Linked DNA regions of Canis lupus familiaris. The protein of the gene in region 3 interacts with the protein of the main gene of each other region in a pairwise test. Links are inferred from orthologs where the notes say so. Each region holds a gene or a part of one and is shown on either strand. Other genes may lie near its edges. The genes, in order: NME7, MOB3B and NT5C2.

Evidence for each region.
Region 1: the proteins of NT5C2 (region 3) and NME7 interact in binary tests that used the Homo sapiens proteins (3 or more experiments, as listed by UniProt). The two-hybrid records come from large-scale screens. The link is inferred for Canis lupus familiaris from reciprocal best matches to the Homo sapiens genes NT5C2 and NME7.
Region 2: the proteins of NT5C2 (region 3) and MOB3B interact in binary tests that used the Homo sapiens proteins (3 or more experiments, as listed by UniProt). The two-hybrid records come from large-scale screens. The link is inferred for Canis lupus familiaris from reciprocal best matches to the Homo sapiens genes NT5C2 and MOB3B.

Annotation. Positions count from the first base shown.
Region 1 is NC_049228.1:29,179,315-29,182,963, forward strand, and holds part of NME7 (nucleoside diphosphate kinase 7), read left to right. Parts: intron 1-770; coding exon 771-878; intron 879-1,630; coding exon 1,631-1,797; intron 1,798-3,649. UniProt on the Homo sapiens protein: Possesses an intrinsic kinase activity. Displays 3'-5' exonuclease activity with a preference for single-stranded DNA. Does not seem to have nucleoside diphosphate kinase activity.
Region 2 is NC_049232.1:45,882,910-45,887,327, forward strand, and holds the start of MOB3B (MOB kinase activator 3B), read right to left. Parts: upstream 2,885-4,418; 5' UTR 2,757-2,884; intron 2,472-2,756; exon of another isoform or gene 2,362-2,471; intron 1-2,361. UniProt on the Homo sapiens protein: Modulates LATS1 expression in the Hippo signaling pathway which plays a pivotal role in organ size control and tumor suppression by restricting proliferation and promoting apoptosis.
Region 3 is NC_049249.1:15,734,410-15,738,058, reverse strand, and holds part of NT5C2 (cytosolic purine 5'-nucleotidase), read left to right. Parts: intron 1-2,365; coding exon 2,366-2,483; intron 2,484-3,311; coding exon 3,312-3,407; intron 3,408-3,649. UniProt on the Homo sapiens protein: Broad specificity cytosolic 5'-nucleotidase that catalyzes the dephosphorylation of 6-hydroxypurine nucleoside 5'-monophosphates.

The DNA.
Region 1 (3,649 bases), on a different chromosome or scaffold from region 3:
GTTCCTGGAAGTCAGGGAACTCTTGAGGGCTCGCTGGCTCTAGAGCTGCCTGCTGGTCTTGCTGAACCTTCCTTAGATTGTGCAGCAATCCAGGATGAAGGCTCCTTTCTCTCCTTCCTTCGGGTCAGATTTGTCTTACTGTCTGGATCCCTCCCCCTTTTCTTCTATAGGAATAGAATTCTTGCAAGTTTAATCCTGTCATGGTGTCTGCTTCTTGGTGGACTTAGACTAACATTCTCCTACAATTTCTATAAAAAGATACTATCATGTGAAATTACTAAGGAGAGAAAGGATGTTTACTATAATATTTATATCAACTTTAATGATGACAGTATTCTAATACTGCTGGATTCTTAAATTTAGGAAAGTTAAAACTTCATAGAATTGAGGACTAGCTTTTCAGAATTCTTTTCTCATACAGTTTATTGTCTGTATGTATGTAAATTTGCTTTCAGAAGGCTGAATTATTGTAGTAGACAAATCAGGCAGCCATGTTCTAAAAACTGTTGATTTACTCCGGGTGATTGGATGTTGTGAAGTATTAAGCAGTTCATAAGTCATCTCTGAGATATCTAAGGATATTTAATGAGAAATGAGAAGAAAATATTTCTGAGGGTATGTTGATAAGTAATGTATTGTTGAAAGAATAATAAGTAGCAACAGATTTATTTGTTAGAAATATTTGGTTAGGTCTTGCTTTCAACTTATATGATTTATACTAGAGTGCTTATATTTTAAATGTTAATGTTAAAATTCTTCTTTCTTTGCAGAATCATGGTGAAAGGTTCGTTTTCATTGCAGAGTGGTATGATCCAAATGCTTCACTTTTTCGACGTTACGAGCTTTTATTTTACCCAGGGGATGGATCTGTTGAAATGGTAAATAACCTTTTTTTCCTTAAAAGTTAGCAAAGGGAGTAAAGGTGGGATAGGGAGAGGAATAGGATTGCCTTCTATATAGCTGCTTTTGAAAAAAAAATGTATTTTTTCTTTTTTTTTAATAGGAATTCTTTTTTTGGTATTATAATTACAATACAGGAAGATAACGTTGTACCTTTATTTTTCATGTCAAGTAGTAATTAATATTTCTCGATTGAAAAACTGAAGTGAGATTATTCATGTTTAGATTAAGCAATAGTCAATAACTGGTTATAGATAAAGATGATCATGGTCCTAAATATGTCACCATTATTGAAAGCTGTTATCTCTACAAGTCTAATTGAAGAAGATCAGGTTAAGAGAGTCCCACTTATTTCTTTGTGTCTCTTTATTAGCAAACACTTTGCAGGTAGCTCTCTTTGGTATTGGGATTTTGTGTAAGCAAGAAAGCAGAAATTTGGAATTTTTCTGGGATTTCACAAGCACTAATTTGCTGAAATAATTTAGCAATAAACAGATTTTCTATTCATTTTTAAAGTATTAAATTTGTAATAAGTTTTTATGTTATTACTGGATTCAACTAGGAAATACGGAGGTTATAAAAGAAATTATGATTTGTATTTGTAGCAAAAACAAAACAATGTAAGCTATGTTTAATAAAGCAAAATTAAGAATCATTTCTAATTTATACTAAGATTAACATTCTCTATTGACAATTATTTGTCTTATTGTGCTATTGTTTTTGGTTCTAGCATGATGTAAAGAATCACCGCACCTTTTTAAAGCGAACTAAATATGATGATCTTCACTTGGAAGATTTATTTATAGGCAACAAAGTGAATGTCTTTTCTCGACAACTGGTGCTAATTGATTATGGGGATCAATATACCGCTCGCCAACTGGGCAGTAGGAAAGAAAAGTAAGAAAATCTTTTCTTCATCCTTAAAATGTTATATATGTCTAGGTACAAAATTCTAATTTCTTGTTTCTATCTTGTGTTTTTACAGCATAGATACTTTTCTAAGTCAGTGACCCAGTTCAGTGTTAAAACATTTTTAGGATTTTGAAGAGTAGATTCAGTAGTTGCTATTCACTCAGATAACAAAGTGATGCCATAGTCTTCAGCAATGATTATTTTTCTGAAGGAAAAAAATTTATATACCCACATCTTTTTTCTTTTTTTTTTAAGATTTTACTTATTTATCTATTAGAAACACACAGATAAAGGCAGAGACACAGGCAGAGGGAGAAGTAGGATCCCCACAGGAGCCTGATGCGGGACTTGATCCCAGGACTTTGGGATCACAACCTGAGCCAAAGGCAGATACTCAACCACTGAGCCACCCAGGTGCCCCAAAGCCTGCATCTTTCTTCATACGTGCATTTAACTGGGAACTGAGAATGTTTGAATATAAGAAGTATTGGTGTATTGGATAAACCTGGCTTATGGGGGAAAAATAGTCCATAATCTCAGTGGAAACAGAAAAAAAGTAATTTCTTGTGGAAGAGCAAGGAAGGCTCTGAAGGTATTTGAGCTGGATCCTGAAAGATGAATTGGATTTTGCCCCCTTAGATCAAGAGTAGGAAATGCTGGTCAGAGGGATAAGTGTAAGCAGAGGTTCAAAGGCAGAAAGTTGTATGTCATGTTGTGGGAAGAGCCCATTGTTCTGCTTGACTGGTTTGGTGGTTAAAATTTTTTTTTAACTTTGATTTAGTAAAATAGCCTGAATTAGGATGGTAACAGTAAGTATGAAGAGGAAGAAATATGCGAGATAAATAGAAGTAGAGTAATAGTAATAATGGTAAGCACTCAGTGATGGCTAGCTATCATTCTATCAGGCATAATGTTAAAATTATCTGTATGGGTTATTTGAGTCCTGTGACAACCTAATAAAAAAGGAGCTATTATAATTAGCTCCACTTTGCAGGTGGGAGGATTGAGGGTTGGAGGAGATGTTAAGTAGCTTGCTGATGGGCAAGAGGAAAGGCAGGATGAAGCCCACAGTTCAGTGTGAATTAAGAATGGGAGGATTTAATCATAGGAGAATGAGAGGACCTGGAAAATGCTTGCATTCTTTTGGCCTCAATTCGTTAGCATGTCTTCTGGCACCTGGCACATCTCCTTACACGTTACAAGGACCTTACCTGTGTTACCTGAGTGAATCGATGAGTAACAATTTAAAACTTAATATCTAGTCTTGCCTTTTAAAAACCTTTCCTCCCTGTTTACAAATGATGAGCTTTGATCTAGATGACAAAGATATTTTTATATAAAAAATATTTTTGTATAGATTGTAATGAATGTTGTCTATTCTTGAGCTTTATACACAGATGTAATATATATCTGATAGTGACTGATCAAGTGAAGAGTGTTACAAAAACAACAAAAAAGTAACATAATTGTGAGACATAGAAACTTGTCTGTCTTGTTCACAACTGTTTCTCTAAAGACCATCATTGTGATGCCCCAAACAGTAAATTATTCACAAAGAATGCCCCACAAAGACTTGTTGAATGAATGAATGAGTTTACTTCATTGAAAATAGTATGGAGGAGGAGCTTTGGCTGGCCTCCCCAGCTCCTCTCTTCCCTTCTGCTGTATGTGCATGTGGACTCCCCTATGATGCAGAGAAACTGCAGCATGGTGCCTTTCAGAGGTATCTCCTTAGTCTTCTCTCTATATTGTTTGTCAGAGCTGCATTTGTCATCCTGACTTTTCCTCAGTTCTGATTTAGAAGAGAGACCAAAAATGTTGGAGATGCTGCTGAAAA
Region 2 (4,418 bases), on a different chromosome or scaffold from region 3:
TAAGCAGAAAATATACACTCAGTATTTTCCTACAATTTTTCTAACAATGCTTTTGCATAGTCTCCCTAATAACTCTACCGAGATCATGTCAGTTATTTTAGTAATTTATGGTTGCAGTCTTGCCAAATGTTTACTATGCTAGAAGGAAGAGAATTGGCACTTTGAGTCAATAAAGATTGTCCAATTACATGGGCAGGGTCAGAAGTCAGAACAGTATGCTTTTATCAGGAGCACCTCTAATCAGAAAAAGGAGAATGTTCCCACTGGAAAAAAAAAAAATAGGTTAAGGGCATAAACTGATATCATCATAGAAGAATAAATACTAACAACAAGAAAAATGTTTAGTCTTATTTGTGGTTAAGGAAATACAAAAGAAGACAAGAGGATACCCCCCTCTCATCCTTCAGCAGAAACAAAAAAGGGTAATTATAATACAGAGCATGAGTGGGGTGCAGGATACAGGGGGAAAATATCCTCTTGTATATTGTTAGAGAGCGGGTAAAGTGGCACAACTTTCCTACAGGACAATCTTAAATATGCTTTAAAAAGTGCATTAACTCTTTCAACCTAGCTATACTAGCTCCAGAAATTTATTCAAGGAAATCACTATTCATTGGGGCCCTGTTTATAATATCTCCCTTTCTTTTGCTTTCATTTTTACTTCTCTGTATTTTCTATTTTTTCTACAGTGATTCGGGGAAGGGGAGGTTAATTCTAAAATTAAAGAAACTGTACAAGCTCATCTTCCACTACAATTATCCTGTTTTCCTTACTGGGGTAGACTGGGACAAACACTGCCCTTTCACTTTGCTAATGATGCCTTTGGGCATTTCTTGAGCAACCCAAGTCAGCCTCATTGCTTCTTTCCTGCTGCTTCTGCTGCTAAATTTCAAAGGAATCTTTCCTTAGGCATCATTTTCATAATGAAATGTTTGTAAAGTATCTCCCAGTGCCTCAAAGATTTTGCTTTTTTTTCTTTTGTTCGTCCCACCGATAAAATCCAGAAATCGCCAGAGAAAGTGCTCTGTGTCCACCTTCCTGACTTAGCAGTCTCCTCTGTTTTTCTATTTATTGAATGGAACTCAAATTTCTGTTAAGTCAGGTAAAGGGAAAACTCCTAGAACTGAAGAGCTCCCACTTAAAATGCCCGAGTGGGTTACTCAGGTCACAAGCATTTCCATGGAAGCTGGCTTCCTCCCTCCCCAGGCTTGGGGAAGGGACCAACAGGTAGAGGGTGAAAAGAGTGTGCCTGGGCGATGATTGCGCCTCCATCAGAAAAAGCTGGCAACGCTGGTCTAGTAAGGCTGAGCGTGCATAGGTTCTAACAGGTGCACAGGCTTGGCCTCCCCTCAACAGGCAAAGGGCCTCTCCAGGCACCCCGCGGGGACCCTGCCTTCCCAGGCCGGCTGCTTCGCTTTTGCCCTCCTCTTCAATAATCCACCCCCCCTAAAACAGAAGCACGATGTGGAAGCATGTAATGGTGAAGGAAGGCACAGGAACAGGGCTCCCTATGATCCAGCAGGGGCACCCCCAGGGAACCTCGGGGGCTGCCCCAAACCACTGGTTCGCAAGGACTTGGGACCGTGAGCATCGCCCCCAGCCGCGGCCGCCCCGGGTCCTCCGGGTCTGCCTTCCAAGCGCTGACAGCGGCCCCGGGACTCCGGCTTGCGGCCCCGGCCCACGTCGACATCCCACGTTCAGGCTCGGGGAGCCACCTCCCCGCGGCTTCCAGGCAAAGTCTCGAGGCTCCCCGGGTTACTTCCTTCCGCACCGTCGCCTGTGGAGCAGCCCGCGGAGCTCCGCAGACCCGGGCCTCGGCCTCTGTCCCGCCGCGAGGGCCCTGACGCCGGCTGCGGGGGGCGGGGGGCGGGGGGCGGCGGGCGAGGCCCACGCGGGAGCCGCGGACACCCGGCGCGGCCCGGAGCTCTCCCCTCCCGCCTGCGGACAGCGGCGCGTCTGGGGTCGGCGGTGCGCAGCCGCCCGCCCCCCTCGGCCCCCGCCCGCCCCCCTCGGCCCCCTCGGCCCCCCTCGGCCCCCGCCCGCCCCCCTCGGCCCCCGCCCGGCCCCCGCCCGCCCCCCTCGGCCCCCTCCGCCCCCTCCGCCCCCGCCCGCCCCCCTCCGCCCTCTAGCCTCGGGCCGGGGTGCGGCGGCCCCGCGGGGCTCGGGCTCCCCTGACGGGGGCGGGGGGCGCCCTTCTCTCCGCGAGTCCCGCCGGGTGTTGCGGAGGCAAACAATGGGGGAGCCGCGGGGGAACAAAAGGCCGCTCGTCCCATCCCACGGGCTCGGTGCCGCGGCCCCTGCGGGGAGGCCGGGTGGGAGGCGGCGGGAAGGCGGGAGAAGGAAGGGGACGGCGGGACTCACTTGCCAGGCTCCCGAAGTCCGAGGGGTCCGCGGGCGGCGAGGACGGCCGGCGGGACGCGTGTTTGACAGCTGGGGCCCGCGGGGTCCCCGCCCCCCCTCCGCTGCCCGCCCCGCGCCCCGCGCCCCGCGCCCCGCGCCCCGCGCCCCGCGCCCCGCTCCCGCCCGCGCGCACTTTCGCAAAAAGTTTGTCTCCCGCCGCCCGCCCGCAGCCCGACGGACCCGCGGCAGGCGCCCTGCGCTCGGGACGGCCCCGGGGCCCCGGCTGCGGACCGGCCCCGCCCGGGAAGGGCGCGCGCGGGCAGGGGCGGCCCCGGACGAGCGCGGCCCCGGAGCGCGGCCCCCAGGTGCGCCCGCTCCCGGCCCCCGGCCCCCGGCCCCGCGCGGCGCTCACTCACCGTGGGGCTCGGACCGCCAGCCCGCGGCCCTCCCTGCAGGCTCCTGCGCCGGGCCAGCCGCGGCCGGCTCCCGAGGACCAGGGCGAGCCGGGGCGGGCGACGGCTGCGGATCCGGATGGCGCGCGCGGCGGCCAGGAGCGCGCGGGCGGGCGGGCGGGCGGGCGGGCGCGGGGCTGGAGCTCCGGCCGCCGCCGCTCCCGAGTAGCCCCCGCAGGCGCCGGCGTGCGGCCCTCGCGCGGGGGCGCCGAGCGGGGCGGGGGGGGGGAGCCCCCTGGCGGCCGCCCGCGAAATGGCAGCTCCGTGGGCGAGGCAAGTCAGGTCGCGGGGAGGCTCCACTTGCCTCCCGCAGAGGATGGGGGGCGGGGGGCGGGGGCCGGGGGGGGGGCACCGCGCGGTGCACGCGGGCTCCCAGCCTCGCGGCACGGCAGACCCTCCCACCAGCGCGGAGAGGGAGGTAGCGCATCAGAAGGGGAAATCACCTTCTCCAAGATCTTCCGACACTCTTAGTAAGAGGAGTCACTAGACAGGAGCTTCCTAAGGAAAATAATGCCTTCCACATCTCTTTATTCCTCTATAGCACCTTAACACGTGTTGATGGAGGAGTACCAAATGGCTAAGTATTGCATTTTACGATTCTAACTAGACACTTGAAAGAGGTATTGAAATACACACATGATTTTATTTGTTTGTTTATTTATTTATTTGAGAGAGCTGCACAAGGAGGGGTGAGGGGAAGGGCAGAGGGAGAGGGAGAAGCCGACTCCCCACTGAACCGGCAGCCGGGAGTAGGGGCTTGATCCCAGGATCCTGAGATCATGACCTGATGCTTAACCAACTGAGCCACCCAAGTGCCAGGAGGTGTGGAAATATATTACGTAGAAATAGGGTAGGTGATTAACAGCCTCCTCCATAAAAGTGGCTTTGACACCTACTAAATGAGAACCTCTAAAACCACACACACATGGCTTCTATCAAGTTATTTCTCATATTGTAAGAGATATTTAACAAATAGTCATGGTCAAATGATATCAACACTGGATTAAGTGATGCCATTTAATTCTGTGCCACTTGGGCAATGCAAAGGTATTGGAGATTGTGAGTATGAGACGCAAACATGAGGGGGGACATAGATACAAATATACAGCCATTAATCAATGATTCTATTGATTATCGAGTAATGCAATTTCATTTCCAAACTGCCTCAAACCCTAGTCACTGCTTTTAAAGCTCCTCTTGTCCCTATGGCCTCATGGCAATCAGAACACTCTTCATCATCCAGAACAATCAGGATGGAAGTATCTCTTAATTACCCCAGTTTACCTTTAATTGTCCTTCCCTTTCACTCACCAGTCTCTAATCAGGAAGTCTGTTGTCTGCTTAACAATTCCTATGACAAGATCTTTTCTGTCCTGTCAAGAGAGGAAAAATAAGGTTTCTTGACTCAGAAACTAAAGCAGAACATTGAGATCCAACTTCTGCCCTTGGAGATAGGGCTCATGCTCCAGGGTACAGATGAGCAAGGGCAAGCAGGGTGAACAGGGCATTCAATTCTAATCAATAGGCCTTAATGGAACTGTCTCTGCCTCTCTCCTTGCTTTTCAGCTTTGCCTGTGGGAAAAGAGAACTTTCATTCCATTTCCACCCCTTGAGTGACTTCTTCCC
Region 3 (3,649 bases):
TTTTATTATATAATACACGAGCTCTTACTCTTTTAGTGCGTATGAATATACAAGCACTTCCTTTATCACAGTTTACATCATCTAGATTTAATAATTCCACACTCATGGATTCCAAAACGGTTGTTTTTTTTGTTTGTTTGTTTTGGTGGGAAAGGGTGATGATGGGGATGGAATTGAACAGAGAAAATATGTAGCCAATTTTGATAATATTAGTGTTAGCATTAGCATCAAAGGGAATGATGGCTTCTTTTGGCATTATTCTGAGGGGACGAGACTCAAGAACCTCCTTCTCCTAAAGAACCTTAAAAATGTTAGGCTTTTTTTTTTTTTTTTTAAGATTTTATTCATTTATTCATGAGGGACACAGAGGGCGGGGGGCGGGGGGTGGACATAGGCAGAGGGAGAAGCAGGTTCCATGCAGGGAGCCTGACGTAGGACTCAATCCTGGGTCTCGTGGATTAGGCCCAAGGCTGAAGGCGACGCTAAACCACTGAGCCACCTGGGCTGCCCCAATTTTAGGCTTTTTAAATATGGCAGATGGTATTAAATATTTTGAAAGTTCACCCTGCTTTCTTAACATTTCAGCTTAATTTAAAAATAATGGATATATACATTAATATGTTACAAGTTGTAAAAGTACAGACAGTACATGAAAGTGTACTTCCCCATCTCTTAGCTACTCAGTTCCCTTCTGTGGAAGTGACCAGTATTACTGGTTTCTTTTATGTAGTTCCAGAAATACTCTAAAAGATTTCTTTTGGCAAGGAAAAGTTGAATAGTACTCATTAAGATTTAGCACTAATTTGGGCCGGCAAACTAATTGCAGTGAAAAATCAGTTTGAGCCATAGGCTGTATAGATTGTGGATAGAAGAACAGTAGTAATCTAATAAGAATAATATTGTGAGATAAAAATGGATTTTTTTTGGCATTGAGCAAGATTGCAGGTCTTTTTATTTTTCTCTTTAATATGGCTTATCTACTCCTAGACACTGATGGGAAGATGCTTACCTAAATACTGCATTGGAGGAAACCTATTTAAAGGAACATCATTTTCTTTATACTGAACTGCAATGATTATTCTGAAAAGTTTTTTGTTATAGAAGATTTCAGAGATCTATAGTAGTAGAGAGAAATACCCATATTCTAAAATACATTTTTTTCACCTGTAACAAGGCTTAGTAGGCTTCTTTGGCAGATATAGATATAGATATCTATGTATATACACACACATACACATGCTCATTTTATACATACAGTTGCATATACCCATCCTTCCATAATGACATCTCATAAAATGAGTCCTAATTCTTTTTTTAATGTGTATTTCCAGTCTTATTGAGAAATAACTGATGTATATCACTGTATAAGTTTAAGACATACAATAAAAATAAGGCATACTGCAAGATGGTTTGATTTGCATATATTGTGAAATGATCATCATAATAGCTTCAGCTAACATCCATCTTCTCACATAAATAAAATGAAAAGAGAAGAATAAATGAAAAAATTTTTCTCCTTGTGATGAGAACTCTAAGGATTTACCCTTTTAACGTTCCTGTATATAATACAATGAGTGGTGTTAGCTAAATTCCTCATGTTGTCTGTTACATCCCTAGTATTTATTTTTATTTGTAACTGGAAATTTGTACCTTTTGACCGCCTTCCTCCAATTCTCCCTCCTCCTACCCCTAGTCATAATTCTTTAATATCTAGTTCCCAGTCCACATCCAGATTTTCCTGATTGTCTCAGGCATGTCTTTTTATGGCTGATATTGCAGCAATAACTTAATGCTATTTTGATGGCTCTAGCCAGACTCTAGCACTGATGAGAAAACAAATTAATCCTGACAAATAGAATTATGTGCTGATTGAAGGAGTATAAAGCAACTACCAAGCCAAATAGGAATTGCAAAAATACTGTTTTTTTGTTTTTTTTTTTAAGGTCATTTTGAAGGATTCCTACACTAACTATACACATCAGTGAAGCCTTCAACATATATACACCTCTCTACCTGGTTAATATCATAGCTGTGCATCTTAGTTTCTTTTTCTACCTTTAGATTGTGGGCATGAAAGAACAGGTAAAGGGAAAAAAAAAGGTTAAGTTTCCTAAGAAATGAAAGAATTATTCTGAAACGTCTGATAATTCATCTTATTGCTCTTGCTCCTATGGAAATATAACCTGTTTCCGCAGACTAACAGTTGAGTTCTGTGATTGGGGCAGTACAAAACGTGGAGTTTGGGGGAAAAGAAGAAAATGGCACATTTAGGAAGAGAGAGGAGTTTAGGAAAGAGTAGAAATTCACTCATTTGCCTTTTATTTTCATTGACTATTATTATAATGAGAACCTCCTCTTTGTGCAGTGTACAAGTCCCCGGAGTATGAGTCTCTTGGCTTTGAGCTTACTGTGGAGAGATTAGTTTCTATTGGCTACCCTCAGGAACTGCTCAGCTTTGCTTATGATTCTACATTCCCTACCAGGTAATTTTTCAAGATTTTTTTGAATTAAGAGCCTTTCCTCTATCCCCCAGATTAATAATTCCAAACCACCTCTCACCATCCTCAGCCTCAAAGAAAAGAACCAAAAAAGGTTATTTGGTTTGTTTCTAGGTTGTTGTTGTTGTTGTTGTGTTTTTTTTTTTTTTTTTGGTTGCTATTCTAAAATTACCATGGGTCTTCATGTACACTGTATCTTTTCTGTTCTTGGAATTGAATTTAGTTTATTGTTACTGAAGAATATCTCTTTATGGGAAAGAGAGATTATTAAAACTGATGGGCAATAATCACAGACACTCCTACTGTTTGCTGTTGGAGAGCAGTTACATGTTGTACTAATACATTTCACTTTGTCATTGGGAGCTTTCTTGGCAGTTTGCATTTTTGGATTTGATAGGGAGGGTTTAAGATTAAGAAAGATGATGTTTGTGATGCCATCATATATGTCCCATATACAGCATCTATTAGAAATATAAGCCAGTTCATTTGTCCAAGGAAATTAAGACTCCTTTAGAATGGAACCACTGTATAAAGAAGAATTATAGTTCATACCTCATTTAAGGCTCTTATTTCTTACAGAAAACAGTTGTGATTATTTATCTGGACAAAGTAAATATTTTTTAGTTGCTCTAGGTTTAGTTTTTAAGATTTTACTCACTTCAGACTCCAGGATTATATTGTTTAGGAACATGCTTGAGTTGTCATAAAAGCTTGAATAAGGTGGTGTTGGTTTATGATGATTTAGTAATACTACATAAGACTGTTGCCTATATTATTTTTGTATTACTGACAGATGTCTTCATTTTCACATAGGGGACTTGTTTTTGATACACTATATGGAAATCTTTTGAAAGTTGATGCATATGGAAATCTTTTGGTCTGTGCACATGGATTCAACTTCATAAGAGGGTGAGTACATAGAACCCTTAGCCTCTTTCTAGTGTTGATACCTTGTCTCCCCAGATGTACTGTACTATACTTTCCTGTTCCCTCATTATTAAAGAACGATTCTTTGTATAAGGATACTTAACAATTACTTATTAGGCAGTTAGGACCCAAACTGACTTATAAATGTAGTTAGCAGTTACATTTTGGGTAAATTAAGTGGTTTCTAATTATATAGCATCCAACAAAGCTAAATTTAAAACTCA